4 linked regions of the Stegostoma tigrinum genome follow. The main gene of each other region encodes a partner of the protein of the gene in region 3 in a complex. Links are inferred from orthologs where the notes say so. Each region holds a gene or a part of one and is shown on either strand. Other genes may lie near its edges. The genes, in order: arpc5lb, arpc2, actin-related protein 2 and arpc3.

What was found.
Region 1: the proteins of actin-related protein 2 (region 3) and arpc5lb are in contact, whole or in part, in a cryo-EM structure (PDB 6YW6), measured with the Homo sapiens proteins. The link is inferred for Stegostoma tigrinum from reciprocal best matches to the Homo sapiens genes ACTR2 and ARPC5L. Residues at the interface, in NP_005713.1 of Homo sapiens: Tyr225, Glu263, Phe266, Gln267, Arg319, Lys322, Gln323, Ser338; in NP_112240.1 of Homo sapiens: Arg11, Arg12, Val13, Asp14, Ile15, Asp16, Glu20.
Region 2: actin-related protein 2 (region 3) and arpc2 share a complex: the UniProt entries of both Homo sapiens proteins name them as parts of the arp2/3 complex. The link is inferred for Stegostoma tigrinum from reciprocal best matches to the Homo sapiens genes ACTR2 and ARPC2.
Region 4: actin-related protein 2 (region 3) and arpc3 share a complex: the UniProt entries of both Homo sapiens proteins name them as parts of the arp2/3 complex. The link is inferred for Stegostoma tigrinum from reciprocal best matches to the Homo sapiens genes ACTR2 and ARPC3.

The regions. Positions count from the first base shown.
Region 1 is NC_081382.1:26,288,321-26,295,733, reverse strand, and holds the start of arpc5lb (actin related protein 2/3 complex, subunit 5-like, b), read right to left. Parts: upstream 3,013-7,413; 5' UTR 2,852-3,012; coding exon 2,712-2,851; intron 1-2,711. Other genes in the region: rpl35 (large ribosomal subunit protein uL29), read left to right, coding at 3,294-3,296, 6,536-6,672. UniProt on the Homo sapiens protein: May function as component of the Arp2/3 complex which is involved in regulation of actin polymerization and together with an activating nucleation-promoting factor (NPF) mediates the formation of branched actin networks.
Region 2 is NC_081360.1:104,225,865-104,233,071, forward strand, and holds the start of arpc2 (actin-related protein 2/3 complex subunit 2), read right to left. Parts: upstream 3,021-7,207; 5' UTR 2,928-3,020; coding exon 2,854-2,927; intron 1-2,853. UniProt on the Homo sapiens protein: Actin-binding component of the Arp2/3 complex, a multiprotein complex that mediates actin polymerization upon stimulation by nucleation-promoting factor (NPF).
Region 3 is NC_081362.1:2,370,557-2,377,544, reverse strand, and holds the start of actin-related protein 2, read right to left. Parts: upstream 3,013-6,988; 5' UTR 2,890-3,012; coding exon 2,842-2,889; intron 1-2,841. Other genes in the region: zgc:153169 (N(4)-(Beta-N-acetylglucosaminyl)-L-asparaginase), read left to right, coding at 3,376-3,490. UniProt on the Homo sapiens protein: ATP-binding component of the Arp2/3 complex, a multiprotein complex that mediates actin polymerization upon stimulation by nucleation-promoting factor (NPF).
Region 4 is NC_081379.1:24,235,487-24,242,806, forward strand, and holds the start of arpc3 (actin-related protein 2/3 complex subunit 3), read left to right. Parts: upstream 1-4,307; 5' UTR 4,308-4,436; coding exon 4,437-4,442; intron 4,443-4,881; coding exon 4,882-4,981; intron 4,982-7,076; coding exon 7,077-7,153; intron 7,154-7,320. UniProt on the Homo sapiens protein: Component of the Arp2/3 complex, a multiprotein complex that mediates actin polymerization upon stimulation by nucleation-promoting factor (NPF).

The sequences.
Region 1 (7,413 bases), on a different chromosome or scaffold from region 3:
ACATAGGGTAAGAGATAAGTAGTGGGAAAGTAAATGGTCTGAGGGGGATAAAAGTTTTCTTTAAAACCTCTGAACAATTTTCCTACTTGACTAAGACTTCAGTTTCCTGATTTCCTATCTGTGCCTCCAATGGAGTAGCAGCATTTTGGTGCCACAAATCACATCATTTGCAGGACCTTTATGACTGTAGTGAGGTTAATCTGTAATAAATCCAACAACACTATAGAAACTGGTGAGTTTTTTTTTCCAGAACAAAAATTTTAGTTAATCATCCAGCAATTCTGGGACTCATTTCCAAATAGTGCCATGGGCATACATATCCATGAACGGATGGTGGCAGTTCAAGACTACACCATCTCAGTTAGGATTGGGCAACAAATGCTGGCCTAGCCATAGATACACCATTCTTGTGAATGAATGTTAAAAATTATGGTGATTCAGAACTCATGGCACAGAAAAATTGATTTTGTACACAAACATTGAGCCAGTACATGCACAGTAGCAATTCAAGAATGTCATTCACCAGTTTATAGCAACTGGCACAGACATAAATCCTGGCATTGCCAACAACACCCACACAATGCCAACAAAAAAAAAGTGACCTTATGAAAGCAAAACAAGTTCATTTAAACAGTGCAACCATCTCAAAATAACATGGATAGAAGATTGGCTAGCTAACAGGAAACAGAAGTGTCAATAGATCATTTTTGGTTGGCAAATCTAAGTCGTAATGGGCTACAGAATCAGTACTGGGGTTTCAACTTTTAATTTATATGAACAGCTTGGACAAAGGGACCAAAGGTATAATCACTAAAGGCACCACGACAGGTAGGAAAGTAAACTAAAAGAGGACACAGGAGGCTACAAAGGAACATAGTTTAAATGAGTCAGCAAAAATGTGGGAAATGGTATACAAGTTGAGAAAATGTAAAAATGCTTATTTTGACTGCAAGATTTAGACAGAAGCATTACATAAATGTGAGTTTGCAGAGCTCCAAGGCGCAGTATGATCTGGGTATCCTCAAAGGAATCACATGATTAGTGTGCAGGTACAGCAAGTATTTAGGAAAGCTAATAGAATCTGTCTATTGTAAAGGAAATTGAATACAAATGTAGATTACTGTTCAGCCTTTCAGGGCATTTGTCTATAGTACTGCATACAGTATTGGTCTCCTTATTGAAGGAGAGAAATAAGATATCCTTGAAGCAGTTCAAAGAAGGTTTATTACACTCATCAGGTCTAGCAACATCTGTGAAGAGAAATCAGAATCAGGGTCAGAGGAAGTGTCACCAGACCCAAAACATATTAACTGATTTCTCTTCACATGCTGCCAGACCTGCTGAGCTTTCCAGAAATTCCTGTTTTTTGTTTCTGTCAACAGGTTTTTCAGTTTTTATCATCTCACAACTGGAATGGGCAGGTTGTCTTATGAAGAAAAGCTGGACAGGCTAACCTTAATTCTGAAGTTTAGAAGAGTAAGAGGTGATTTGTTTGAAGCAAAATCCTGACAAGCTTTGACAGGGTGCATATGGAAGGGAAGTCTCTTCTCGTGGGAGATTCTAAGGGGTCACCTGTTTAGGGCAGATATGGAGAATTTTCCCAGAAAGTCATCAGTCTTTGGAAAAGTCTTCCACAAAAAGTGATGGAAGAAGAGTCTTTGAATTTTTTAAGACAGAAGTAAATAGATTTATGACAAAGGTGGGGATAATCTTTCAACCACACACAATATTATGTGGAGTAATCAGATCAGCCACAATCAAATTCAATTTATTTTCTCAATCTATCAGAAGTGTTATGTCAAACCTGTGCAGCCGGTAGGACTTAAACCAGGCCATTTGGCTCAAGGGACACTGGCAGTGCACAAGAATCTTATTGAATGGCAGAGGGGTTAAGTGGCCTAGTCCTGTAACTAATTTATATATTTGCAAGAATGCAGGACCTGGCTAAAAATGCTCAAATACCACTGTACATTAACATTGTGACTGAAAATGATCGCTATTTTCCAACTTGAACAAAATCTCAAATCAAGGGTTCCCAAACGGTGGGCTGCAGTGCCAGTTGGATGGTGGAACAACGTTTTTGGGATCATGATTTCATTTTAGCGACGGTATGCTTGGAGCTTGAACTGAGTTCTGACAAATTGATTTCTTTTATGTCATTTTGGGTGGCTTTATCTTTTGTCTCATTTGACATTTGATTGTTACTACAATCACAGCTTGTACAATGGTGGCTCTCTGCTATTTTTAGGGACAAAGTGAGCAGCAGTAACCCCGTTCGTACTTCCACCCATTTCCACACTGAGGACTTAAGGTGCTGATCACAGCGGGGTAAATATTGGAAATTAAAAAAATAAAAGGTATTTAAACAAATCTCCAAAATGACAAATTCTGCACATGATATAATAAACTCACACTGAAGTCGTCAGTTAAGTGACAAACTCGATGAAAATGAAGCAATCCAGTGAAGGATGAGTGCGAAAGCAATGCCATTAACTTCAGTCGAGGGTGCTCCAGGCTGCCCGGGAGCGCAGTTAATAGTCGGCAGCAGTTTGAGAGCGGGTGCGGTTCCCAGGGGGTGAAAAAGAGTGAGAGGTCCGTGGTCATGGGGAGGGGAGAGCTGTCACCTTCCCTCCCGGCGTCATGCGGCGCTCTGCCAGCGCCTGGTCTCTCACAAACACGCGCACGCAGAGGGAGACGGGCCATAAGGATATTGCCTGATGAGAGTGTCCACTTCCAGCGAGTCGGGCCCCTGCTGCTCCACCGCCTCCTCCTGCTCATCCACAAACTTGTTCTCATCGTACTCGTCAACGTCGACTTTCCGGAACCTGTTGGAGAGCGTGTTTCTCGCCATCTGCCCCTACTTATGTTAAAAGAGCAAGTGTTAAATGGGGACGATAAGCCACTCCCTCGCCGACACCCGCACCTACTGAGCCGGAGGCTGCATCGGCGCCGGGCGATCGCGCTGCTTCCACTCAAACGCGGGGCCTGCCGAACCTCGACCCGGAACCGGAAACAGTCTCTGGAATGCACGATCTCAGGGAGAGGGCCGGTAAGCAAAATCAACAAAACTCAATGATGACTGAACCCCGTCGTTAAATGAGTTACAACGACGGGCTATAAAGAAAATAAAACAAGTAGGTTTCTAAAAGACGACGATGTTTGTGTAAAGTTAAACGTTTGACATAATGGATCGCGCTGAATCCTCCCCTCCGTGAAATGGATGGTAGGTCCTATCACGTGGAAATACAGGCCCCGCCCGCGAGGCCTGTCTTTTCCTGCGCTTGCCCAAGAAAATGGTAGGAGTCTGTAGGTTGTCTGCTCCTGCTAACTGGAGAATCCTAATTCATCCCGAAAAACTACTGGCTCTACAGCGGGAGTAGCTGGCTCTTGTGAATCCTCAGGCTCCCCTTTATCGGCTCCGCCAGTTATTTAGGATTTCTTTTTAGATTTTATGTTTAAACTGCGACGGATGATCCGCAGGCCGCGGTGTGTCTCTTATTTTTACATGGCGGCCCCGCTGCCTGGTCCGCGTAGGTAGCCCCGCCATTGGGAGTTGTGGAGATGCGGGGCCTGTCGAGCGGAGTCTGCGGGAGGGGCACATCAGGCGGGAGCTGCCTGAGCGTTTAGACAGTTGTTGCGACTCCAGACGTCCCGCTGGATCACCCGTGGCATTGCTCAACGATATCAGCTTCAGTCTTCACCCCCCCCCCCCCCCCCACCCCGCCGCCGAAGAAAGTCTTGGTTTTACTCCACATTTCTATACGTCTTTGAAATTGGCGATAATAGTGGTCCTGTTGCTTCTCCCTTCCGATTGTGAGCAGCTTTTTCGTTTGATGCCTCAGTTGCTATCTTCCCAACTGCAGTGAGGTTTTGGGGGTTTCTTAAGGTGAAGAAATCAGGGTCAACTCCTCTTGGTGACTCAAGAGGGAAACCTATTGATAGTGATCCTCTTCATCTTTTTTTCCATTCTGCTTCGTGATAGTGGTTACTGGGCTAGTCAGGTGTTGTTAGAGAAAGCTTGGTGAGTTGTGATGAATTCTGATATTTAGCTGCAGTACAACTAGTGGGTGTCCAGTGATGGTTGCAGTGTTCAAGCATGTTGGTTTGTTGCACTAGTCTGATTTCTTCAGTGTTGTGGGTGTACCCATCTGGTAAAATGGTGAATGTACTTCTCGCTGCAGATTTGATCCTCGTAACTTTGAGAAGAATGGGAAAAGGAGTTTCATATTGAATAGTAAAATGTGAGGCTGGATGAACACAGCAGGCCAAGCAGCATCTCAGGAGCACAAAAGCTGACGTTTCGGGCCTAGACCCTTCATCAGAGAGGGGGATGGGGGGAGGGAACTGGAATAAATAGGGAGAGAGGGGGAGGCGGACCGAAGATGGAGAGCAAAGAAGATAGGTGGAGAGGGTGTAGGTGGGGAGGTAGGGAGGGGATAGGTCAGTCCAGGGAAGACGGACAGGTCAAGGAGGTGGGATGAGGTTAGTAGGTAGCTGGGGGTGCGGCTGGGGGTGGGAGGAAGGGATGGGTGAGAGGAAGAACCGGTTAGGGAGGCAGAGACAGGTTGGACTGGTTTTGGGATGCAGTGGGTGGGGGGGAAGAGCTGGGCTGGTTGTGTGGTGCAGTGGGGGGAGGGGATGAACTGGGCTGGTTTAGGGATGCAGTGGGGGAAGGGGAGATTTTGAAACTGGTGAAGTCCACATTGATACCATATGGCTGCAGGGTTCCCAGGCGGAATATGAGTTGCTACCAGCCCAGCTCTTCCCCCCCCACCCACTGCATCCCAAAACCAGTCCAACCTGTCTCTGCCTCCCTAACCGGTTCTTCCTCTCACCCATCCCTTCCTCCCACCCCCAGCCGCACCCCCAGCTACCTACTAACCTCATCCCACCTCCTTGACCTGTCCGTCTTCCCTGGACTGACCTATCCCCTCCCTACCTCCCCACCTACACCCTCTCCACCTATCTTCTTTGCTCTCCATCTTCGGTCCGCCTCCCCCTCTCTCCCTATTTATTCCAGTTCCCTCCCCCCATCCCCCTCTCTGATGAAGGGTCTAGGCCGGAAACGTCAGCTTTTGTGCTCCTGAGATGCTGCTTGGCCTGCTGTGTTCATCCAGCCTCACATTTTATTATCTTGGAATCTCCAGCATCTGCAGTTCCCATTATCTCTTTCATATTGAATAGTGTCTTTTTTTGAAATTCATTCATGTGATGTGTGTGTTGCTGGCTGGCCAGCATTTATTGCTCATTTCTAGTTGCTTTTGTTTGGAAGCCACTCTGGCTTGATATTTATATTTTTCTGTGGTCAACTCCAGCTTGCCGCCACTCCTGGTTACATGCACTCATCTGATTCTGTCACCTTGAGCATCCCCAAATTCTGTCACTCCATCACTGGTGGCTATGGTTTCAGCTGTGCACTCAGAATGGAATCGTACAGTGTAAAAGAAGCTGTCTGGCCCATTGAGTCTGTACTGTGAAAAATATGCTAATACCTACACTCGTCCTATTTTCCCACAAGGCACATAATCTTGAATGTTATAACACTACAGGTGTTTGTCCAAGTACTTTTTAAATGTTTTACAGTTACACATCTCAGCTGCCCTCAGGCAGTGCATTCCAGAACTTCACCTCCCTTTAGGTGAAAAGATTTGACTCTCATTCCCCTTGAAACCTCCTGTCTTTTGCTTTAAAAGTGTGCCTTTTTTCTCTTGGCCCCTTGATTGAGAGGAACAGCTGCTATCTATTTGCATTGTCTGTGCCCCTCATAATCTTGTACACCTCAATCAGTTCTTCCTTCAACCTCTGCTCCAAGGAAAATAGCCTGAGCTTATCTGACCTCTCTTCATTGCTAACATACTCCATCCCAGGAAACATCCTGGTGAATTTCCTGTGCGAGCCCTCTAGTGCAATCATGACCTTCCTATACACAGTGATCAGCACTGCATTTACCGAGCTCTGGAATTTGCACCCTCAACAACAAAAGCAGCCACCCCACACACATGCGCGCGCACGCACACACACACACACACACACACACATCTCTTCCACTCTTCCTTTGCAGCATCTCTTAAAATTTGCCACTTTGACCAATCTTTTGGCCCTTTACTCTAACATTGTATGATGTCACTCAGTACCAAATCTTGGTTTTATGAAGCCTCTGGAAATACCTTGAGATATTTTACTTGTTAAAGTTGCTATACTTTGCACCTTGTGGCATTGTAATTAGGGCTTTATTGGTACTGTGAATCTGGAACTCTCCCTCTAAAGCTGTACTGGTTGGGTCAATCAAAATTCTTAGATTAATAAATTTCTGCTTACGGGTTATCTGGATTAGAAACTGCTAAATGGGGTTTAAGGTACAGGTTAGCAAAGATCTAGCTGAAAAACCTGATAAGTTGAAGGACCAACTCTTGCTCCATATAGCATTAACAGCTACTTGTATTATCTTCAGTTTTCGAATGTGTGTACTGTTGATCGAGTCCACTTGGAGGCTTTGTTTGTGTGACAGTAACATGGTGGTTCTTATTAAATATAGGCAAAAATCAAGGCACGTGATCTGCGCGGCAAGAAAAAGGAGGAGTTACTGAAACAGTTGGATGACCTCAAGGTTGAACTCTCCCAGCTCCGTGTGGCAAAAGTAACTGGAGGAGCTGCATCCAAACTGTCCAAAATGTAAGTATATAGGCTTGAGATATTTTGAACATGCCAGTGATTTTAAAATCTCGCTTATTAGAAAGGACAGCTTTGGATTAGTTTGGAGACTTGCTGACCGAGCTGGTGTGTTTGATCGCAGACTTATCGTCATCCTGCTAGTGACATTGTCAGTGCACCTCTGGTGAAGCATCGATGTTCTGTCCCGCTTGTTATTTATGTGCCTTGGTTTGCTGGGGTGTTTGGCGTTACTTCCGGTTTTGTTTCTCAGTGCTTTGTATCTTTGGTCCAGTTCAATGCGTATGTTGATGGAGTTCTGGTTGGAATGCCAGGCTTCCAGGAATTCGCTGGCATGTCACTGTTTGGCTTGTGCTGTTATGGATGAGTTGTCCCAGTCAAATTTATGTTCTTCTTTGTCTGCTTGTATTGAGACTAGTGAGAATTGGTTGTGTCTCTTAGTGGCTAATGTGTATTTGTGTATCCTTATTGTCAGTTTTCTTCCACTTTGGCCTGTGCAATGTTTCTCAGTCCTTGCATGGTATTTTGTATATTACATTAGTTTTCTTGGTTGTTGGTGTGGAATGCTTTACTGTCACAGGGTGTTGTTGGTTTGTGGGGTACCCTGATACTTAGGGGTCTGTAGGATGACGAGTGTTTCTGGCCATGTTGTCTCCAGTTGTAGTCTGTGCAAAAAGCAGGCCAGGAGCACTTATACAGAGTATTTAAAAAGAATGTATACCCAAAAAGCACAATCCGTGGCTA
Region 2 (7,207 bases), on a different chromosome or scaffold from region 3:
GCAGCAGTTGTGGAAGCAAGGTCATTGGGGTCATTTAAGAGACTGCTGTACATGTATATGGTCACAGAAATTTGAGGGTGCATACATGAGGATCAATGGTCGGCACAACATTGTGGGCTGAAGGGCCTGTTCTGTGCTGTACTGTTCTATGTTCAATTAAGAGAAGTCCTCTGACAATTTGTTACCCAGAATATACAGGTAACCTGTTTCATATAGAACATTACAGCACAGTGAAGGCCCTTCAGCCCTTGATGTTGTGCCGACCTGTCATACCGATCTCAAGCCCATCTAACCTACACTATTCCATGTACGTCCATATGCTTATCCAATGACGACTTAAACGTACCTAAAGTTGGGAAATCTATTACCGTTGCAGGCAAAGCGTTCCATTCCCTTACTACGCTCTGAGTAAAGAAACTACCTCTGACATCTGTCCTATATCTTTCACCCCTCAATTTAAAGCTATGCCCCCTCGTGCTCGCCATCACCATCCTAGGAAAAAGGCTCTCCCTATCCACCCTATCTAACCCTCTGATTATTTTATATGTTTCAATTAAGTCACCTCTCAACCTTCTTCTCTCTAATGAAAACAGCCTCAAGTCCCTCAGCCTTTTCTCGTAAGACCTTCCCTCCATACCAGGCAACATCCTAGTAAATCTCCTCTGCACCCTTTCCAAAGCTTCCACATCCTTCTTATAATGCGGTGACCAGAACTGTACACAATACTCCAAGTGCGGCCGCACCAGAGTTTTGTACAGCTTCACCATAACCTCTTGGTTCCGGAACTCCATCCCTCTATTAATAAAAGCTAAAACACTGTATGCCTTTTTAATAGCCCTGTCAACCTGGGTGGCAACTCCACATCCTTCCTATAATGTGGCAACCACAACAGCATACAATACTTCAAGCATGGCCTAAAGTTTTATACAGCAACATGACTTGCCAACTTTTACACTTAGTGGCCTGACCAATAAAAGCAAGCACGCTGCACACCTTCTTTCCCACCTATCCTCTCGTGCTGCCACTTTCAAGGAGCTTTGGACTTCCATCTCAAAATTCCTGTTTACCACAGTTCCTCAGGGTCCTGCCATTTACTATACAACTTCCTCTTCTATTTGCCCTCCCAAAATGCATCACCTCACATTCGTTCGGATTAACCTCCATCTGCCATTTCCCTGTCCAACTTTCTAAGTGATCTATATACTGTTGTATCCTTTGACAAACTCTCCTATTATCCACAACTCTATTTTTTGTGTTGTCTGCAAACCTACGAATCAGGCCAATTACATTTTCATCCAAATCATTGTAAAACACAAACAGATGTCCCAGCACAGACCATAGCAGAACACCACTGGTCACAGAGATCCAGTCAGAAAAAAACACTCTTCCACTATTACCTCCTCTGGGCCAGGCCAATTTTGAATGCAGCTTGCCAACATACCATGGACTGCATGCAACTTAATCTCCTAGAGTAGCCTACCAGGATGGACTTCATCAACTGCTTTGGTAAAGTCCATGAAGACAACATCCACTACCCTACCCTCAATCATATTCATCATTTTCTCAAAAAAATCTATTCACATTCGTGAGACAAGACCTTCCCGTAATAAAGCCCTGCATATCCCTATTAAGTCTATTCTTTGCTAAACGTGAATAAATCCTGTCCTTAAGAACCTTTTCCAATAATTTCCCTTCCACTGATGCAAGGCACGGAAGCCTACAATTTCCTGGACGAGCCCTATTGCTCTACCTAAACATGGAACAACACTAGCTAGTCTCTAGAATTCTAGGACGTCAACTGTGGTGAAAGAGGAATCAAAGATCTCAGTCAAATTCCCAGCAATCTCCCCCACTGCCTCCCTCATTATCCTGAGATAGATGTCATCAGGTCCTGGGGATTTAGTGTTTTTAAAGACACTCACCACCTCGTCCTCAATATGAGCATGCCTTAGAACATACTCCATCTGAGATTCACCATTCAACATGGCCTCCTTTTTGGATACTGATGTGGAGTGCTCATTACAGGCATTTCATCTGGTTCCAAGTATAAATTCCTTTAGTGCTTAACTGGACCCCAGTGAGCCTCTTGCTCCTAACATAGGTTTATAAAATGCCTTGAGATTCACCTTAATCGTACTTGCCAAGGACATTTCACGGCCCCTACTGGCCCCAATTTCTCATTTAAGTTCTTTTCTGCTTCCTTCCTCAAGGGCCTTGTTCGATTTCAGTTTCCTAAACCTTACATATGCCTCCTTTTACTTTGTGACTAAACTTTCAATATTCCTTGTCACCCAGGGGAGGGGAGGGCTGGGTGAGGGAGATCCCAGGGTGGGGGTAGGGGTGTGGGAGAGAAGATGAGGGGGATCCCGTGGGAGGCGTATGCTGGTGGCGGAATCAGGGGAATCCAGGTGTTGCGGTAGGGAGATGAGGGGGATCCTGGGGGAGGGGTGGGCTGGTGGGGGGGGGGGGGGAATGTGGGGGATCATGGGGTGGGGGGGAATCCCAGGGGGAGGGGGTGGGGGGAAAGAATCCCGGGGGGAGGAGTGGGGAGGGTGGGGGGGGAGGAGTGGGGAGGGTGGGGGGGGAGGAGTGGGGGGGTGGGGGGGGGAGGAGTGGGGGGGTGGGGGGGGGAGGAGTGGGGGGGTGGGGGGGGGAGGAGTGGGGGGGTGGGGGGGAGGAGTGGGGGGGTGGGGGGGGTGGGGGGTTGGGGTTGGGGGGGGAGGAATCCCGGGGGGGGAGGGGAGATGAGGGGGATCCGGGGGGAGGGGTGTGTCCGGGTCGGGGCCTGAGCTGAGCGCCGGCCCAGGAGCCTCCCTCCGCCCGGCAATGAAGAAGCATTTCCCGGGTCCGTACCCCGCGAGCGCATTCTCCAACTTGAGGCTGAGGGTTTCCTCCACGATGCGGTTGTTAATCTCCAGCAGGATCATGGCGGCAGCGGCAAGGAACCCGGACACAGTCTCGGCCTCTCCTCCAACTCCAGACCCTCTCCGGAAACAAGGCCCAGCCACACCCGCAGAACCACTTCCGCAGCCGGTCAGCGCGGAGCAGGGGCCTTTCACGACCCCGGGGCATCCTGGGATATCTCACCACCATTGCTGGATTATTTCCCCAGACTTCTGAAGCCCTTCAGAGAAATATCATCATATCTGCCTAGATGAGACAAATGGGAAGAAGTGAGAAGCAGATGAAAAAAAATAAACGGACTGATGTTAACTTTCAGCAGATGGATGATTTCACAATGAATTTAAAATCTTGAGCGATAGTTGTAGGTCTCTGAACTTGCACGCAAACTTGGACCGCTTGGAGGATAACTGTTGTTAAGCAAATTTAGAGAAAGAGCAAGTGGGGAAGAAGGTGTGAGGTAAAAGGTATATCTGTGATACGGTGAATGGTAGGAAATATTAAATCAAGGGTTGATGTAGAGAGAGTGTACATCTTGAGGGTCATAACTGGTTAGATGCCTGTTAAACAGCATGAAGCAAGGTTGGATTGTGGCTTCCCAAATATTTCATCTCTTTGTTCCTGTGAACCAAGAACAAAGAACAAAGAAAATTACAGCACAGGAACAAGTCGTCAGCCTCGAAGCCTGCGCCAATCCAGATCCTCTATCTAAACCTGTCATCTATTTTCCAAGGATCTGTATCCCTCTGCTCCCTGCCCATTCATGTATCCGTTTAGATACACCTTAAATGATGCTATCGTGCCTGCCTCTACCACCTCCACTGGCAACGCGTTCCAGGCACCCACCACCCTCTGTGTAAAGAAATTTCCACGCATATCTCCCTTAAACTTTTCCCCTCTCACCTTGAACTCATGACCCCGGTAATGGAGTCCCCCACTCTGGGAAAAAAACTTCTTGCTATCCATGCTGTTTATACCTCCCATGATTTTGTAGACCTCAATCAGGTCCCCCATCGAACTCTGTCTTTCTAATGTAAATAATGCTAATTTATTCAACCTCTCTTCACAACTTGCGCCCTCCATACCAGGCAACATCCTGGTGAACCTCCTCTGCACCCTCTCCAAAGCATCCACATCCTTTTGGTAATGTGGTGACCAGAACTGTACGCAGTATTTCAAATGTAGTCGAACCAAAGTCCAATGCATCTGTAACATGACCTGCCAACTCTTGGACTCAATACCCCGTCTGATGAATGAAAGCATGCCATATTGCCTTCTTGACCACTCTATGCATCTGCGTTGCCACCTTCATGGTACAATGGACATGAACACCCAGATCTTTTCATGTACCAATTTTCCCCAGGGCTTTTCTATTTACCACATAGTTCACTCTTGAATTGGATCTACCAAAATGCGTCACCTCGCATTTACCTGATTGAACTCCATCTGCCATTTCTCTGCCCAACTCTCCAATCTATCTATATTCTGCTGCATTCTCCAACAGTTCCCTTCACTATCTGCTACTCCACCAATCTTAGTGTCATCTGCAAACTTGCTAATCAGACCATCTATACCTTCCTCCAGATCATTTATCACAAACAACAGTGGTCCCAACATGGATCCCTGTGGAACACCACTGGTCACAGTTCTCCATTTTGAGAAACACTCTTCCACTCCAATCCCTCTCTCCTGTTGCCCAGCCAGTTCTCTATCCATCTACGTAGTACACCCTGGATCTCATGTGACTTCACTTTCTCCATCAGCCTACCATGGGGAACCTTATCAAATGCCTTATGAAGTCCATGTACATGACATCCACAGCCCTTCCCTCATCTATCAACTTTGTCACTTCCTCAAAGAGTTCTATCAAGTTGGTAAGACATGACCACCCCTGTACAAAACCATGTTGTCTGTCACTGATAAGCCCATTTTCTACCAAATGGGAATAGATACTATCCCTCAGAATCTTCTTCAGCGGCTTCCCCACCACTGACGTCAGGCTCACTGGTCTATAATTGCCTGGACTGTCCTTGCTACCCTTCTTAAACAAGGGGACAACATTAGCAATTCTCCAGTCCTCCGGGACCTCACCATGCTCATGGATACTGCAAAGATATCTGCTAAGGCCCCAGCTATTTTCACTCTCACTTCCCTCAGAAATCTGGGTTAAATCCCATCTGGACCTGGGGACTTGTCCATCCTAATGTCTTTTAGAATACCCAACACTTTGTCCCTCCTTATGCTGACTTGACCTAGAGTAATCAAACATCTATCCCTAACCTCAACATCTGTCCTGTCCCTCTCCTCAGAGAATACCGACGCAAAGTACGCATTAAGAATCTCACTCATTTTCTCTGACTCCTCGCATAACTTCCCTCCTTTGTTCTTGAGTGTGCCAACCCTTTCTCTCGTTAGCCTCTTGCTCCTTATGTATGAATAAAAGGCTTTGGGATTTTCCTTAACCCTGTCTGATAGAGATATTTCATGATCCCTTTCAGCTCTCTTAATCCCTCATTTCAGATTGGTCCTACTTTCTCAATATTCTTCCAAATTTCATCTGTTTTCAGTCACCTAGACCTTTTGTATGCTTCCTTTTTCCTCTTTGCTAGTCTCACAATTTCACCTGTCATCCATGGTTCCCTAATCTTGCCCTTGCTATCCCTCATTTTCACAGTGACATGTCTGTCCTTTACTCTAATCAATCTCTCTTTAAAATCCTCCCACATATCAAATGTGGATTTAATCTCAAACAGCTGTTCCCAATCCACATTCCCCAGCTCCTGCTGAATTTTGCTATAGTTGGCCTCCCCCTAGTTCAGCACTCTTCCTTGAGGATCACTCTCATCTTTGCCCATCAGTATTCTAAATCTTACGGAAATGTGATCACTATTCCCAAAGTAATCCCCTACTGAACCTTCAACCACCTTGCTGGGCTCATTTCCCAACACCAGGTCCAGTATGGCCTCTTCCTGAGTTGGAATATTTACATACTGCTCTGGAAAACCCTCCTGGATGCTCCTTACAAATTCTGCTCCATCTGAGCTCCTAACACAAAGTGAATCCCAGTCAATGTTGGGAAAATTAAAATCTCCCATCACCATCACCCTGTTGCTCCTACATCTTTCCTTAATCTGTGTACATATTTGTACCTCTATCTCATGCTTGCTGTAGAGAGGCCTGTAGTACAGCCCCCACATTGTTACCACACCCTTCCTATTTCTGAGCTCTGCCCATATTGCCTCACTGCGTGAGTTCTCCACCATGCCCTCCTTCAGCACAGCTGTGATATGCTTGTTGGCCAGTAATGCAACTCCTCCAACTGATCATGTGAATGCTTCAGCCTTATTTTTTGCACTAATGTGCTGGCTTCTTTCATCAATGAGGATGGGGATATTTGTGGAGCCTCCTTCCCCAGTGAGTTGTTTAATTGTCCACCACCATTCACAGCTGGAAGTGGCAGGACTGCAGAGCTTAGATCTGATCCATTGGTTGTGGGATTGCTTAGCTCTGTCTGTCACTTGCTGCTATTGCTGCTTGGCGTGCAAGTATTCCTGTTTGTGGCTTCACCAGGTTGACACCTCACCTTCAGGTATGCCTGGTGCTGCTCCTGGCATGCCCTCCTGCACTCTCCATTGAACCAGGGTTGATCCGCTGGCTTGATCGTAATGTTTGAGTTGGGGATGTGGCGGGCCATGAGATTGACTTAGGATTGTATTCGCTGGAGTTTAGAAGAATGTGGGGCATCTCAGAAGATTAGAAGAGGGAAGGATGTTTCTCATGTTGGGGGAGTCCAGAACTAGAGGTCATTGTTTGAGAATAAAGGATAAACATTTTAGGGCTGAGATGAGTGGAATTTCCTTCCCTAGAGACTGGTGAGTCTGTGGAATTTACTCTCACAGAAAGTGATCGAGGCCAAAACATTTTTTTTATGTGGAAGTTAGATATAGCTTTGTGGTTAAAGAGATCAAGAGATATGGTGGACGTGGGATTAGGGTATTGAGCTTGATCTTCAGCCATGAGCATATTGAAAAGCAGAGAAGGCTCAAGCATTTAAATGGCCTATCACTGCTTCTAATTCTATGTTTCTATGTGCAGTAAAAAATCTGGCAACAAGTGGCATGTCAGTCTGAATTTGAGTATAGATAAAATAAGTCTTGCTACATTGTACAGGGATTTGTTAAGACCACATCTGGAATATAGATTTTTGGGAATGCAATTTTTGTTGAAATACTTAAGGAAGGTCATACTTGCATTTGAAGTGGCACAGTGAAGGTTCACTAGGTTGGTTTCTTGATTAAGAGGGTTA
Region 3 (6,988 bases):
AAGGACTCATAAGATAGTGATCTCTGAAATTATGGTATGTCTGACAGAAACAAGAAAACTTGCTTCCACTTGTGCAGAGGACAAGAACTGGCAACTATGAAAAATGTTACCACAAATAAATCCAGTCAGAATCCAAGTGAAATGGCTTCACCAGAATGGTGAGCGGAACCTATCACCACAGGGAGCAGTCGAGGCCAGCAGCTCTGATGCCCTTGAAGGGAACTTAAAGAAGCATATAATGGAGAAAATAGTAGAAGGATACATTGATAGAAAACTACTCAAACCTAACAGACAATTCTCCTACGACATTCTCTAACTTTAAAGCTCATGACTTTTGAAGGATGTTCAAACCATTGCAGAAAAGACAGCAATCAATTTGCAAACAGCAAACGTCCTCAGCCAGACAAACAGTTAAACTCTTGCAATTCCAATACACAGATTTTGGGGGAAGCAGGGGGAATGGGTGAAAAGGGATAAAGTAGTGGAAGAATGGTGTTGGGGAGGTCAAGGAAAGCAGGTGGGGTTGGCAGGGAGGGTGAGGAGGGGATGGAAACGTGGGGGTTTGGGGTGGAATTTTGGGAGGGGAGGGGGGGCTGGAATTGTGGAGGGGGGGTTGGGTGGGGAGGGGAGGAGGGGGTGGAATTGTGGGGGGGGGTATGGGGAGAGAAGGAGGGGGTGGAATTGTGGGGGAGGTGGGGAGAGGAGGAGGGGGTGGAATTGTGGGGGGGGTGGGGAGAGGAGGAGGGGGTGGAATTGTGGGGGGGGGTGGGGAGAGGAGGAGGGGGTGGAATTGTGGGGGGGGTGGGGAGAGGAGGAGGGGGTGGAATTGTGGGGGGGGGTGGGGAGAGGAGGAGGGGGTGGAATTGTGGGGGGGGTGGGGAGAGGAGGAGGGGGTGGAATTGTGGGGGGGGTGGGGAGAGGAGGAGGGGGTGGAATTGTCAGGGGGTGGGGAGAGAAGGAGGGGGTGGAATTGTCAGGGGGTGGGGAGAGAAGGAGGGGGTGGAATTGTCAGGGGGTGGGGAGAGAAGGAGGGGGTGGAATTGTCAGGGGGAGGTATGGGGAGAGGAGGGGGTGGAATTGTGGGGGCGGTGGGGAGAGGAGGGGGTGGAGGGGAGGGAAGGAGGGGGTGGAATTATCAGGGGGGTATGGGGAGAGAAGGAGGGGGTGGAATTATCAGGGGGGTATGGGGAGAGAAGGAGGGGGTGGAATTATCAGGGGGGTATGGGGAGAGAAGGAGGGGGTGGAATTGTGGGGGGGTAGGGAGAGAAGGAGGGGGTGGAATTGTCAGGGGGTGGGGAGGGAAGGAGGGGGTGGAATTGTCAGGGGGTGGGGAGGGAAGGAGGGGGTGGAATTATCAGGGGGGTATGGGGAGAGAAGGAGGGGGTGGAATTGTAAGGGGGGGTATGGGGAGAGGAGGGGGTGGAATTGTGGGGGGGGTGGGGAGAGAAGGAGGGAGTGGAATTGTCAGGGGGTGGGGAGGGAAGGAGGGGGTGGAATTGTCAGGGGGGTATGGGGAGAGAAGGAGGGGGTGGGGAGAAAAGGAGGGGGTGGAATTGTCAGGGGGGTATGGGGAGAGAAGGAGGGGGTGGGGAGAAAAGGAGGGGGTGGAATTGTCAGGGGGTGGGGAAGGAAGGAGGGGGTGGGGAAGGAACGAGGGGGTGGGGAAGGAACGAGGGGGTGGGGAAGGAACGAGGGGGTGGGGAAGGAAGGAGGGGGTGGGGAAGGAAGGAGGGGGTGGGGAAGGAAGGAGGGGGTGGGGAAGGAAGGAGGGGGTGGGGAAGGAAGGAGGGGGTGGGGAAGGAAGGAGGGGGTGGGGAAGGAAGGAGGGGGTGGGGAAGGAAGGAGGGGGTGGGGAAGGAAGGAGGGGGTGGAATTGTCAGGGGGTGGGGAAGGAAGGAGGATGTGGAATTGTCAGGGGGTGGGGAAGGAAGGAGGGGGTGGAATTGTCAGGGGGTGGGGAAGGAAGGAGGGGGTGGAATTGTCAGGGGGTGGGGAAGGAAGGAGGGGGTGGAATTGTCAGGGGGGGTATGGGGAAAGGAGGGGGTGGAATTGTGGGGGGGTTGGGGAGAGGAGGAGGGAGGGGAATTGTCAGGGGGTGGGGAGGGAAGGAGGGGGTGGAATTGTCAGGGGGTGGGGAAGGAAGGAGGGGGTGGAATTGTCAGGGGGTGGGGAAGGAAGGAGGCGGTGGAATTGTCAGGGGGTGGGGAAGGAAGGAGGCGGTGGAATTGTGGGGGGGGAGGGTGGGAGAGTGGGGGGGGAGGGTGGGAGAGTGGGGGGGGAGGGTGGGAGAGTGGGGGGGGAGGGTGGGAGAGTGGGGGGGGAGGGTGGGAGAGTGGGGGGGGAGGGTGGGAGAGTGGGGGGGGAGGGTGGGAGAGTGGGGGGGGAGGGTGGGAGAGTGGGGGGGGAGGGTGGGAGAGTGGGGGGGGAGGGTGGGAGAGTGGGGGGGGGGGGAGGGTGGGAGAGTGGGGGGGGGGGAGGGTGGGAGAGTGGGGGGGGAGGGTGGGAGAGTGGGGGGGGAGGGTGGGAGAGTGGGGGGGGGGGAGGGTGGGAGAGTGGGGGGGGGGGAGGGTGGGAGAGTGGGGGGGGGTGGGAGAGTGGGGGGGGGGGTGGGAGAGTGGGGGGGGGGTGGGAGAGTGGGGGGGGGGGGGTGGGAGAGTGGTGGGTTGGTGGGTTAGTGGGTTGGTGGGTTAGTGGGTTGGTGGGTTGGTGGGTTAGTGGGTTAGTGGGTTATTGAGGTGGTGGTGTGACTGCCTCAGATACCACCCCCTCCCCCAATCCCAGACGGCGCCTCACTTCCTCATACCTTCCCCTGGGACGGCGGGCCGAAGAGCCAGCACTTACCCCAGTGCCATTGTCGCAGACCACCACCTTCCTACCCTGGCTGTCCATGGTCCGCTCCCGAACCGCTACCGCCCTCTGTCCCGGTGAAACTTTCCACCCGCCTCCCGACACCGGAAATCACTGTCCGCTCGCTCCCGCTCCAGAGGGCGCGCCGTTCCCACGTGACACTCCGCTTCCGATAGGCGTGGCCGGGTGCTGCCAGAAACGTCGTGATTGACGTGAGGTGGGCAGAGTGCCGTTGATTGGCAGTGAGGAGGCGGGGTCGGTAAGGACACTTCAATATTAATTGGTTGATAACGCTCCGCGCCCGGCTAACCAATAAACTTCGGGAAGCGACCGGTGGGCGGGACATTGGAGGGGGAAGTCTAAAATAAGTCTTTTTGAAGAATATTTAAGGTATCTTTTAAGTTCTAGTTCTTGTACTGTGATCTGATATTCTTTAAAGCTTAACAAAACATTTCTTCTCAGCTTGAATGATTGTTTTAATGTGATTGGTCCCTAAAGGGGGCCAATCAGAGTGCAGGGTTGGTTGCTATGGCGGCGGCGGTCGTTGGAACCTGGGCCTTTTCGCTGGCTGCGGTGGACAAGGCCCGGTTGCTGTTGGCGACCGGCCGCGGGGCCTCGGCCACCGTCCAGGAGGCTATGGCAGGTGATGTATTTTCATGATGGTCGTGCCGGCCTTTACACCCACAACAGCAGTTCTCCAAGTTCTAAAGAGTACCTGCTCCCTCAGCACTGACCCTCCGACAGTGCGGCGCCCCGTCAGCACTGACCCTCCGACAGTGCGGCGCCCCGCCAGCACTGACCCTCCGACGGTTTGCCCGCTCGCTCGGCGCTGACCCTCCGACAACGCAGCTCGTTTCCTTTGATAGATACTTTGTCATACAAACTGGAGACAGACCTTTCAGTCCATCTTATCCACGCCACTGGAGAATCCCAAACCAAACTAGTTCCATTTGTCAGCATTTGGCTCTTATCCCCATAAAATGGGGTGCAAGATACACCAGGAGATAGAAAAGCTGTGTAAGAAAGGCAAAGTCACAGTGATCATGGGGGATTTCAATATGCAAGTGGACTGGGAAAAACATGTTGGTAGTGGATTGCAAGCAAAGTAGTTTGTGGAATGTCTGTGAGATGGCTTTTTGGAACAGCTTGTGGTGGACCCCATGAAGGAACATGCAATACTGAATTTAGTGTTTTGCAATGAGACAGACTTGATAAAGGAGCTAAAGGTAAAGGAACCCTTAGGAAGCAGTGATTTGAGAGGGAGAAGATAGAAGTATTACAACTGAATAAAGGCGACTACAGAGTTATGAGAGACGAGCTGGGCAGAATTGATTGGAAGAAGAGCCTAGCAGGAAAGACAGTGGACAGCAATGGCGAGAGTTTCTGGAAGTAATTCAGGAGACACAGCAAAAATTCATCCCTCAGAAAAAGAAGCATGGTACAGAGAGGATGAGGCAACCAAGGCTGACTAAGGAAGTCAGGGTTAGAATAAAAATAAAAGAGTAATTAGTAATGTGGCAAAGGGCAGTGGGAAAACAGAGGACGGGGAAGCTTACAAAGATCAACAGAAGGCAACAAAAAAAAAGAGGGAGAAGATTAAATATGAGAGTAAGCTGGCCAGTAATATAAATGAAGGCTGTAAGAGTTTCTTTAGGTATATTAAAGGGCAAAAGAGAGCCCAAAGTGGACATTCCACCACTGGAAAATGAAGATGGAGAGATAGTGGGGAACAAGGAAATGGTTGAGGAACCGAATAATTACTTTGCGGCAGTTGTTAAGGTGGAAGTCATGAGTAATATCCCAAAAATTCAAGAGAGCTGGGGTGGAGCTGGGTATGGTGGCCATCACCGAGGAAAAGGTGCTGGTAAAACTGATTGGCCTGAAGGTGGACAAATCACCTGGATCAGATCGACTACACCCCAGAATTCTAAAGGAGATAGTGGAAGCGTTAGTGGTGATCTTTTAGGAATCGCTAGAGTCAGGGAGGGCCCCAGGGACTGGAAAATTGCTAATGTAACACCCCTGCTTATAAAGGGAGTAAGGTAAAAAAATGGAAAATTATAGGCTGATTAGCTTAACGTCTGTCATTAGTAGGATTTTCGAATCCATGTAAAGGATGAGATTTCTGAATATTTGGAAGTGGAGTGAAATAGGGCAAAGTCAGCATGGTTTCATCAAGGGGAGGTCATGCCTGGCAAATCTGCTAGAATTCTTTGAGGAAGTAACGAGCAGGGTAGACCAAGGAGAGCCAATGGATGTTGTCTACCTCTACTTCAAGAAGGCCTTTGAAAGGTGCCACACAGGAGGCTGCTGAATAAGATAAGGGCCCACAGTGTTAGAGGCAAGGTTCTAGCATGTATAGAAGATTGGCTGTCTGGCAGAAAGTAGAAAGTGGGAATAAAGAGGTCTTTCTCATGATGGAAGCTGGTGACAAGTGGTGTTCCACAAGGGTCAGTGCTGGGACCACAACATTTCACTTTGTACATGAATGATCTGGATGAAGGAACTGTGGGCATTCTGGCTAAGTTTGTGGACGATACAAAGATAGGTGGAGGGACAGGTAGTATTGAGGAATTGGTTCGGCAGCACAAGGTTAGGACATTGGGCAAAGAAGTGGCAGATGGATTACAACGTGGGAAAGTGTGAGGTCATGCACTTTGGTTAGAAGACTAAAAGCATGGACTGTTTTCTAAATGAGGAGAAAATTCAGAAGGCTGAAGTACCAAGAGACTTGGGAGATCCAGTTCAAGATTCTGTCAAGGTAAACTTTCAGGTTGAGTCCATAGTCAGGAAGGCAAATGCAATGTTGGCATTTATTTTGAGAGGACTTGAGGGGGCGATCTGATTGAAACTTTCAGAATACTGAATGGCCTGGACAAAGTGGATGTTGGGAAGATGCTTCCATTGGAGTCTAGGACTCTAGGACACAGTCTTAGAGTCAAGGGAACGTCTTTTAGAACGGACATAAGAAGAAACATCTTCAGCCAGAGAATGGTGGATCTATGGAAGTCACTGCCACAGAAGGCTGTGGAGGCCAGGTTATTGAGTACATTTAAGACTGAGATAGATAGCTTCTTGATTATCAAGGGGGGGTCAAGGTTTACGGTGGGAAAGCGGGAGAATGGAGTTGAGGAACTTAAGAGCCATGATTAAATGTCGGAGCAGACTCGATAGGCCGAATGGCCTAATTTCTGCTCCTATGTCATATGGTCTTAAACATTTTCTATTCACATCCCATCCAGATACCTTTTCGATGTGAATGTCCCCACGTCTGTTTCTTCGTCTGGGTTCATTGCCTATACGCACCAGCGTCTGTGTGAAAAAGTTGCCCCTCATGTCCCTTTTAAATCTATTCCCTCTTACCTTCAACCTGCACCATCTAGTTTTGGACTCCCTTACCCTAAGGGAAAGACCTTGACTATTCCCCTCATCTCTACCTCGCATGATTTTAAAAACTTCTCTAAGGATTTGGAACAGTTCTGTTTAATCTCCCGCGATTCCAAATTGTGTTCATAATCTTGTGTAAAAGAATTACTTTTATTTTTGTTCTGCAGTTTGTGATCTCAGGACGTCTGGAAAGGGCTGCAGAAATGTACTGTATAGAAATTCAGTGCAAAGTTTAACTTCAGGAGACGAGTCAAAGCCAACTGAGTTTGACCTGCCTGAATGTCTGAATTTTGTGATGCATTATGTTCTCGTCAGAAAGCAATTTTTGATTTACCCAATAAACAGCAAGCAGCAGACTTCGGAGAGGAAGATTAGAAATGAAGTGTTTGTTTTTCATGAGATTTGAGACCCCTGTGCACCAGTGTTCATAGCTCAACACAAATAGAGGTTGTGTAAGTTACTGCTAGCGAATCTATCAGCACATTTTTGGAAAGCATTGTGATTGAAACTTGATTTGATCTTTCTGTATCGCTTGTTGCACTGTGTGCTGTGAAACACAGGCTGAGCTGCATGATTGGATTAATGATTTTCAAGATCAAGACTTGTTATCATAAGACAGCATTTCAGAATCCAACTATGGCACATGTGGATTTTAAGTTAACTTTTTATTCAGATGATCAACTTATGATCAGCCATCGCAATTATGAAACAATGTTGTCATATAAACCTGTCAGGTTATTCGTATTCTCCAGCA
Region 4 (7,320 bases), on a different chromosome or scaffold from region 3:
AAATTCAAAGTAAATATTAATTTGGAGTTTTAACACTCTCTTTTTCCTCACAGATGCTTTCATACCTGATGAGCTTTTCTGGCAATTTTGTTTTTGTTCACTGTTTTTGGGTAGTATCCTGGATTCATAGCCATAAGCCTGTATTTTGGGAGGCTGAGTTGCTGATATCACCACTGACACATCCTGTTTTAAAAGTGGAAATCAAAAACAGCAGTGCAATGGGTCACTGAAATAATGTGATAATGTGACAACTCTTGATACAAAGGCTGCAAAGATGCTAAATATGTTATTTGCCTTGGCTGTCTCCTTTTTGAGGTTTAAATAAAACTAAAATTATCTGGAAAGTGAAGTGGGTAAGGAAAGAGACAATGTTTCTCATCACCATTCATATTACTACTAGCATGGTTGTCTAATAGGTGTGGAAACTTGAACTTGAGTTGGGTAAAATGCATTTGAAAATCTTTTAAAGAATTAAAGAGAAAATTACAGAAATTCTGGCATAAATCTTCCAGAAATCATTGTGTAGTGGCAAGTTGTTTGTGACTGCATGAAGGTAAGTTGTGAATTTGTCACGAGTATAAAATTATACAAAGCCTCCCTAAAGAGAGAATATGGACCACTTGGATAGAAATAAAATCACTAAAGATTATCAAAGTGGATTTGTGAAAGGAATGATTTAGTATTGTAATGCCATTGATTAACATTATAGGGACTATCATAGGGTTAACAGAGGGATTAACCTTATAACATACTTAGTATCTTTGCAGCCTTTTTACCAAGAATGGTCACATTATCGCATTATTTCAGTGACCCATTGCACTGCTGTTTTTTTTAATTTTCACTTTTAAAGCAGTATGTGTCAGTGGTGATGTCAGTTATGATGTTTTAATTTCAAATCAAGCTGTTGATACAGAACTAGAGAACATGCTTTGTTTAAACGGTGGAATGGTAAATGCAAAATGAATCCGCAAGAATAATGTCGGTCAGTGGCTTGTCTAGGGAACAGTTCCCTGGAGAGACCATAAAAGTTAAGTGTTGATTCAATTTATTCAGATGGCATTTCATCTGTATATAATTCAAGACATGATCTGTGCACTGGATGTAACACAGTTAGTGGATTTGAAGGCATGAGAACACAAAGTCCAATAGGTGTCATAGTTGTTGCCGACTCACTTGTCATCATTATAATTTTACTAGTGGTGGGGAGACAATCTGCTGACTTGCACCATGGTGGGCCAATTGTAGTCCTTTAATGCCCAGTTAAGGATCCCATCCTGCTTCTGCTGGGAAAGGCCTATCAGCTTACCACGTGTCAGGCAGGCAAACATAGGAACAGGTGTGTTGTTAAGCCTTCTCTGCCATCCCATTATTTTGACTGGGTGATTACCCATCCCTCTGTCATGTTCCTGTACTATCTCTATATCCCTTGTGAAATTTAGTCTCCAAATTGATTTCTCATTTGAACACACACTGCACTCTGGGACACAGCATTCCAAAGATTCTCATCACCCTCATCGTGAAATTCATCTCATCTTGGTCTTAAGTGGCATACCTCTTTAAACTAATATGGTGCTCCCAGCCTAAGCCTCCACATCCACCTGATCACACGCTGTAAGAATTTTGTAAGTTTCAAATGAGGTCACTCCTCAATCTTTGAAACTTTAGGGAATAGAGACCCACAATCTTAACTTTATAAGGCAGTTCCATTATCCTGGGGATTTATTTGGTGAATCTTTCATTCACTCCTTGTATGGCAGGTAATGAGACCAAATCTGTACACGATATTCCATTTGAGGAGTTAAAGGTTTTATACAACTGTGACTTTACTCCTGTAATCAAATAGTCTCCACTTAAGGTCCACACATTATTTGTCTTACAACGCAAGTGCAACAAGCAATTAGTAAGTCTTAAGTGACTTATTAATAGGGATATCCAGTCCATTTGCCAGCACTCCTCCATCCTCACTTTTCCACCCTACTAGTCTGCATCCAAAGGATCATATACTGCCATATACGGCACCTCCAGTGGGATGCCACCACCAGACTTGTATTTCCCTCCCCTTCTTTGTCAGCATTTTGTAGGCATCGTTTCCTCCAGAATGCCCTGCTTGACTCCCAAAACAACTCCATGGCACCCGTTCAAACAAGGTACAACACTTGACTGTTTACCTCCTCACTGCAAAGCCTCAGACACATCTTCCAAGTGAAGCGGTGACTTACCTGCACTTCATTCAATGTAGTCACTGTATTGGCTGTTCACAATCCTCTATATTGTGTAGACAAAACAGACTGGGTGACTGCTTTATGAAATTCTGTATACAAAAATGACTCCAACCTTCCAGTGATTTGACACTTCAACGTGCCACTGTGTTCCCATGCCAACATTTCTGTTTCAGACCTGCTGCAGTCCTCCAGCGAAGCTCAACACGACCTGGAGGAACAACCCTCACCTTCTGGGATGGGGGTTAGAATAAATAGAGAAGGGTTGAGGTCAACAGTATCAGGCTAGCATAACATGAAGCAATCCCTGTCTGGGTGAATGAAAACATGTACCTAGGACTGGAGATATCATTAATTAGACTAATATATTCTGATAAGGTTGGAATTTGCAGATTGACTAAAGGTGTATAAATTAATTGAATCTCTACAGTGTACAAACAGGCCATGCAGCCCAACAAGTCCACACTGACTCTCCAAAGAGCATCCCATCCAGACTAACCCTGTATTTCCCATGGCTAATCCACCTAACCTGCACATCTTTGAACTGTGGGAGGAAACCTATGCACACAGATGGAGAATGTGTGGAGTTTGTACAGAATGTTGCCCAATGCTAGAATTGAACCTGGGTCTCTGATGCTGTGAGCCACCATGCTGCCCTTGAATTTCTTTTATTTAGGAGAACTTTCATTTTAGTTGAAGGGTGGTTATGGTAGAGGATTTTCTCTTTTCAAACAGAGATAGGGACTGCCATAATGTTAAGGGCTTGGATGGAGAGGAATTTAAGCATATACAAGAAAATTTTCTGATTATGTGGATGTACCTAGCAGAGAAGGTGCAAATCTTGACCTACTCTTGGGAAATAAGGCCAGGCAGGTGACTGATGTGTCAGTGGGGGAGGCTGTTTGGGGCCAGTGACCATAATTCTATTGTGTTAGTGATGGAAAAAGAATAGAGATGGTAGGAACTGCAGATGCTGGAGAATCTGAGATAACAAGGTGTAGAGCTGGATGAACACAGCAGGCCAAGCAGCATCAGAGAAGCATGAAGGCTGACGTTTAGGGCCTAGATCCTTCCTCACAAAGGGTCTACGCCTGAAACATCAGCCTTCCTGCTCCTCTGATGCTGCTTGGTCTGCTGTGTTCATCCAGCTCTACACCTTGTCATCTCACAGAAAAGGACAGACTTGTTTTTGAGAAGATTTGTAGCTTGGTTTGTGGATGAGGTTGTAGACGAGGTTGTAGACTTGCTCACTAAGTTGGTGTGTTTGCAGATGTTTTGTCACCCTGCTAGGTAACATCAATGTACCTCCAATGAAGTGTCAGTATTGTGTCCTGCGTGTTATTTATATGCTTCCGTTGGCATCACTTCCGTTGTGTTTCTCAGTAGTTTGTATATCAGGTCCAGTTCATGTTTGTTGATGGAGTTCTGGTTGGAATGCTAAGCCTCCAGAAATTCCATGGCTTGTTTCTGTTTGGCATGTGCTATTATGGATGTGTTGTCCTAGTCGAATTCATGTCCTTCTTTGTCTGTGTATAGTAAGACCAGTGAGAACTGGTCGTGGCTTGTTGGTGTTTAATACAGTACCATTTATTGTTTTTATACCATGTTTTCGACTCTGAAAGCTTATGTTTTCAAATTGTTGGCCTATAACTTGATGTGATGAGATTTCTGACCTTGATCACCTCTATGCTTCGTCAAGGACAACAACTCTCCAACTTCTCACATACATCCCAGAGTCCTTCATGCCTGTGACTCGTCTTCTGAATCCTTCCTGTATCCTCTGATAGGTCCTACTGTGTGGGGCCCAGAATTAGTTGCAATACTCCAGTGAAAGTTGAATCAGTAAATTGAGAACTGCAGTCCTGAACTGACCCCCCCCCCCCCCCCCCCGGATGGGGAAGGGTCGGGGGGGAAAAAATCCTCCAGTAAAACGTGCAGATCCTTCATAAGATAATAAAACGTGAGGCGGGATGAACACAACAGGCCAAGCAGCATCTAAGGAGCACAAAAGCTGACTTTCGGGCCTAGACCCTTCATCAGAGGATCCTTCGCCAGGTTCTATCTCGTGTCACGTGGGAATAGCGTTCGCCGTGCTCACTCCCGCACCGCCGCCTGACGCCGCGCTCGTCACCGACAGGGTGGGACTGGCGGAAGAGCTGAGAGTGACCGAAGCAGAACCAATTTATTCTGGGCGCTTGTTCAGTTGCAGGTTGTAAAATGCCGGTAAGTTTCTTGAAGGGTTTTTATTTAATCCCCCAACACCTTCCTGTATCGGAGCATCCTAAACTCATGTTATTTGATGGAAGTTAACTGAAAAATCAGAGTGGATGTGAAAAATCAGGAAGTAGGCCGTTTGGGCCTAAGCAAGATTATTAAGAAAAAATATTTGTGTCTTTGGTCCAAAAATGTACGGTTGAGAGAACTGTGTATTTTGTCACCTTTAGCTTAATGAAGTGAATTACTTTAATTCAATGATGTTATTTGATGCTAACCTTCATGGAGCATCCTGCATCCGTTTTACTGGAAGTTGTGGTCTGTAGTATTGATCTTAATCACCTACGAATACAATCTTAAAATCAGGAATATATTTGACAGAAATATGCCAGTTGAGTCGGTATACTAGGGAAGGACAGCATTTCTAATTGTACTTTTTCTCTCTCAGGCTTATCATTCAACCCTTATGGATAGTGATGTAAAACTGATTGGAAACATGGCATTATTGCCGCTTAAAACACAATTTAAAGGACCAGCTCCTAAGGAAAGTAAGTTTTGAGATTGATTTTATGAAAACTGAATTATACAACACTTGCATCAGTTTGTACAGTTATGCATAGGGAAACAGTTTAAGTGTTAGTTTTGTAATTTAAACCAGTTAATAATTGTAGAAAGTTCTTTCAAAAAAAATCTTGGTGCCAGGGAAAAAGCACACTTTTTAGTTTACAAATAGACACATTTCCATACAGCAGTGTGGTTGTGATGTAAATTACTGCTTTGGGAAATGTACCTTGCATGGGTATATTTATTTTATCATATCTACTATCATTTGGTAACAAGGGGAGTAAAGGCTAAATGTACTCCTGCTCTTGTTTTGATTTAAGTACCAAATGCAGAGGCAGTTTGACCATGTGTTACTCTATTGATTAAAATTTGCCTTGTCAAAAGCAGTTTTCCACAGCTGGATTTCTGATTAGCCACATGTAGTGCATGGCTAGTGTATTGAAAAATACTCCAATTGAATTGTTGAATGCATTCAAAAATTCTAGTTCAACACATGCAGCATGCAACTTGCACCCGCAAACATCAGCTAGGTTCTCTGGAAAGATACTGAAGTTTCAAAAAGTAGTATTTCTTTTTATAATGTTACTTTTGGTCACTCTTTGGCCTGGTAACTGTATTTAAGAGCGCTGTTAGTCGACGTGTTGGTGTAGGTTGTACTGTCATTCAGGTTTGAGAGCATGGAAAGAGGCTCCGAGGCCTACCATGTCCATGACCTTCATCAAATATCATTTATTGTAATGTTCCATTACTTGGTCAGTAGCCTTGCATGCTATATGGCATTTCAACTGCTTGTCTAAATAGTTTGTAAATGAGTTGAGGGTTCCTACCTCTGCTACCCTTTTTGGGCAGTGAGTACGAAATATCCAGAACCCAGTTTGGGGTTGGGTGGAATTTTGCAAACCCCTTTAAAACTTCTGCTCCTTACCTTAGAACTCTGGTTCCTCGTTTTGAATCCTTCTGCTGGGTGAAGAAAGCTTGAGAGAATAGCGAGGGAAAGTGCAATTATACTTTTTAAATGTCATAGGAAGATAAGATTTCTTAAAAAAAACTTTCATGGAATGTGGGTATCAATGGCTAGGCCAGCACTTATTACCGATTTCTAAGTGCCCTTGAGAAGGTGCTGCTGTGCTGCCTTTCTGAACGTTTGCAATACGTGGTATATTGATATAGCAATGATGCTGTTAGGGAGGGAATTCCAGGATTTTGAACCAGCAGCGATGAAAGAATTCTGATATAGTTCCAACGAGAAACTTGTGTGTTTTAGAGGGGAGCTTACAGGTGGGGATATTCCCACACATCCACTGCCCTTGTTTCTCCTAAGGTTAGTCATGTATGGGGTTGGAAGGAGGTGAAAAATTTGCTGAAGCTTGTTTCTTTTTTGTACCGTCCACCTGATGGCCAAAGAAAGCATGCCAGCGTGACAGTCTAAATGTTGTTTTACATTCTAAGTCAAATGTAATATAAGCTAAAATTATGTAATTTGCAACAGTTAATGAAACAAGGTGCATATTAGATTAGTTGTGGGTTTTCAGCCAAGGAGGCCAGACACTGCATTCTAGTTAAAACCAAGAGGACACGCTTTTTGTTTTGATTGGAACATAGTTGCCTGTAGAAAGAAGACTTAATTGATGATTGAAATGACTACCTGAATGGGTCAACTTTGAAGTTTAATCAAGGAGTAAACTCATTTGGTGTGGTGTGGGGTGAGGGGAGGAGAGAGAGGAATCGATGACAAGAGGCCGTAGATTAGACATAAGAGACAGGAAGTTTAGAGCAAAGGAGAAGAAAAACATTTTGATCCAAAAGGTAAAAACTAAAAGAACTGCGGATGCTGTAAATCACAAACAAAAGCAGAAGTTGCGGGAAAAGTTCAGGTCTGGCAGTATCTGTGAAGAAAATGTGGTTGGAATATTTAGGTGGTGGTGCTTTTTGACTCTGTGGGCCCAAGGGCTGCTTTCTGTGTTATTGACTTCTGTAATTATGACTCTATCTCCCAACTGGGGACAACAAATTCAAACTGTTAATTTTTTGTTATGCTTAAGGATTTAAGATTTGGTTATCAATAATGATCTTTTCCAGCTAAAGACACTGATGTCATTGATGAAGCAATCTACTATTTTAAGGCAAATGTTTTCTTCAAAAACTATGAAATAAAGGTAGGTTTGTTTTCTGATTTGTCAATTGTAAAGATTCTTTTTAAATAAAGTACATGAATAATTTGTCGTGTATTCAAGGGAGTAATGCGTCGTGTAGTATAACAAAGTGAAATCACTTCGGCACAAAAGTAGTGTGATTATGTTTAGACAGTGTTTCTGACATCAGC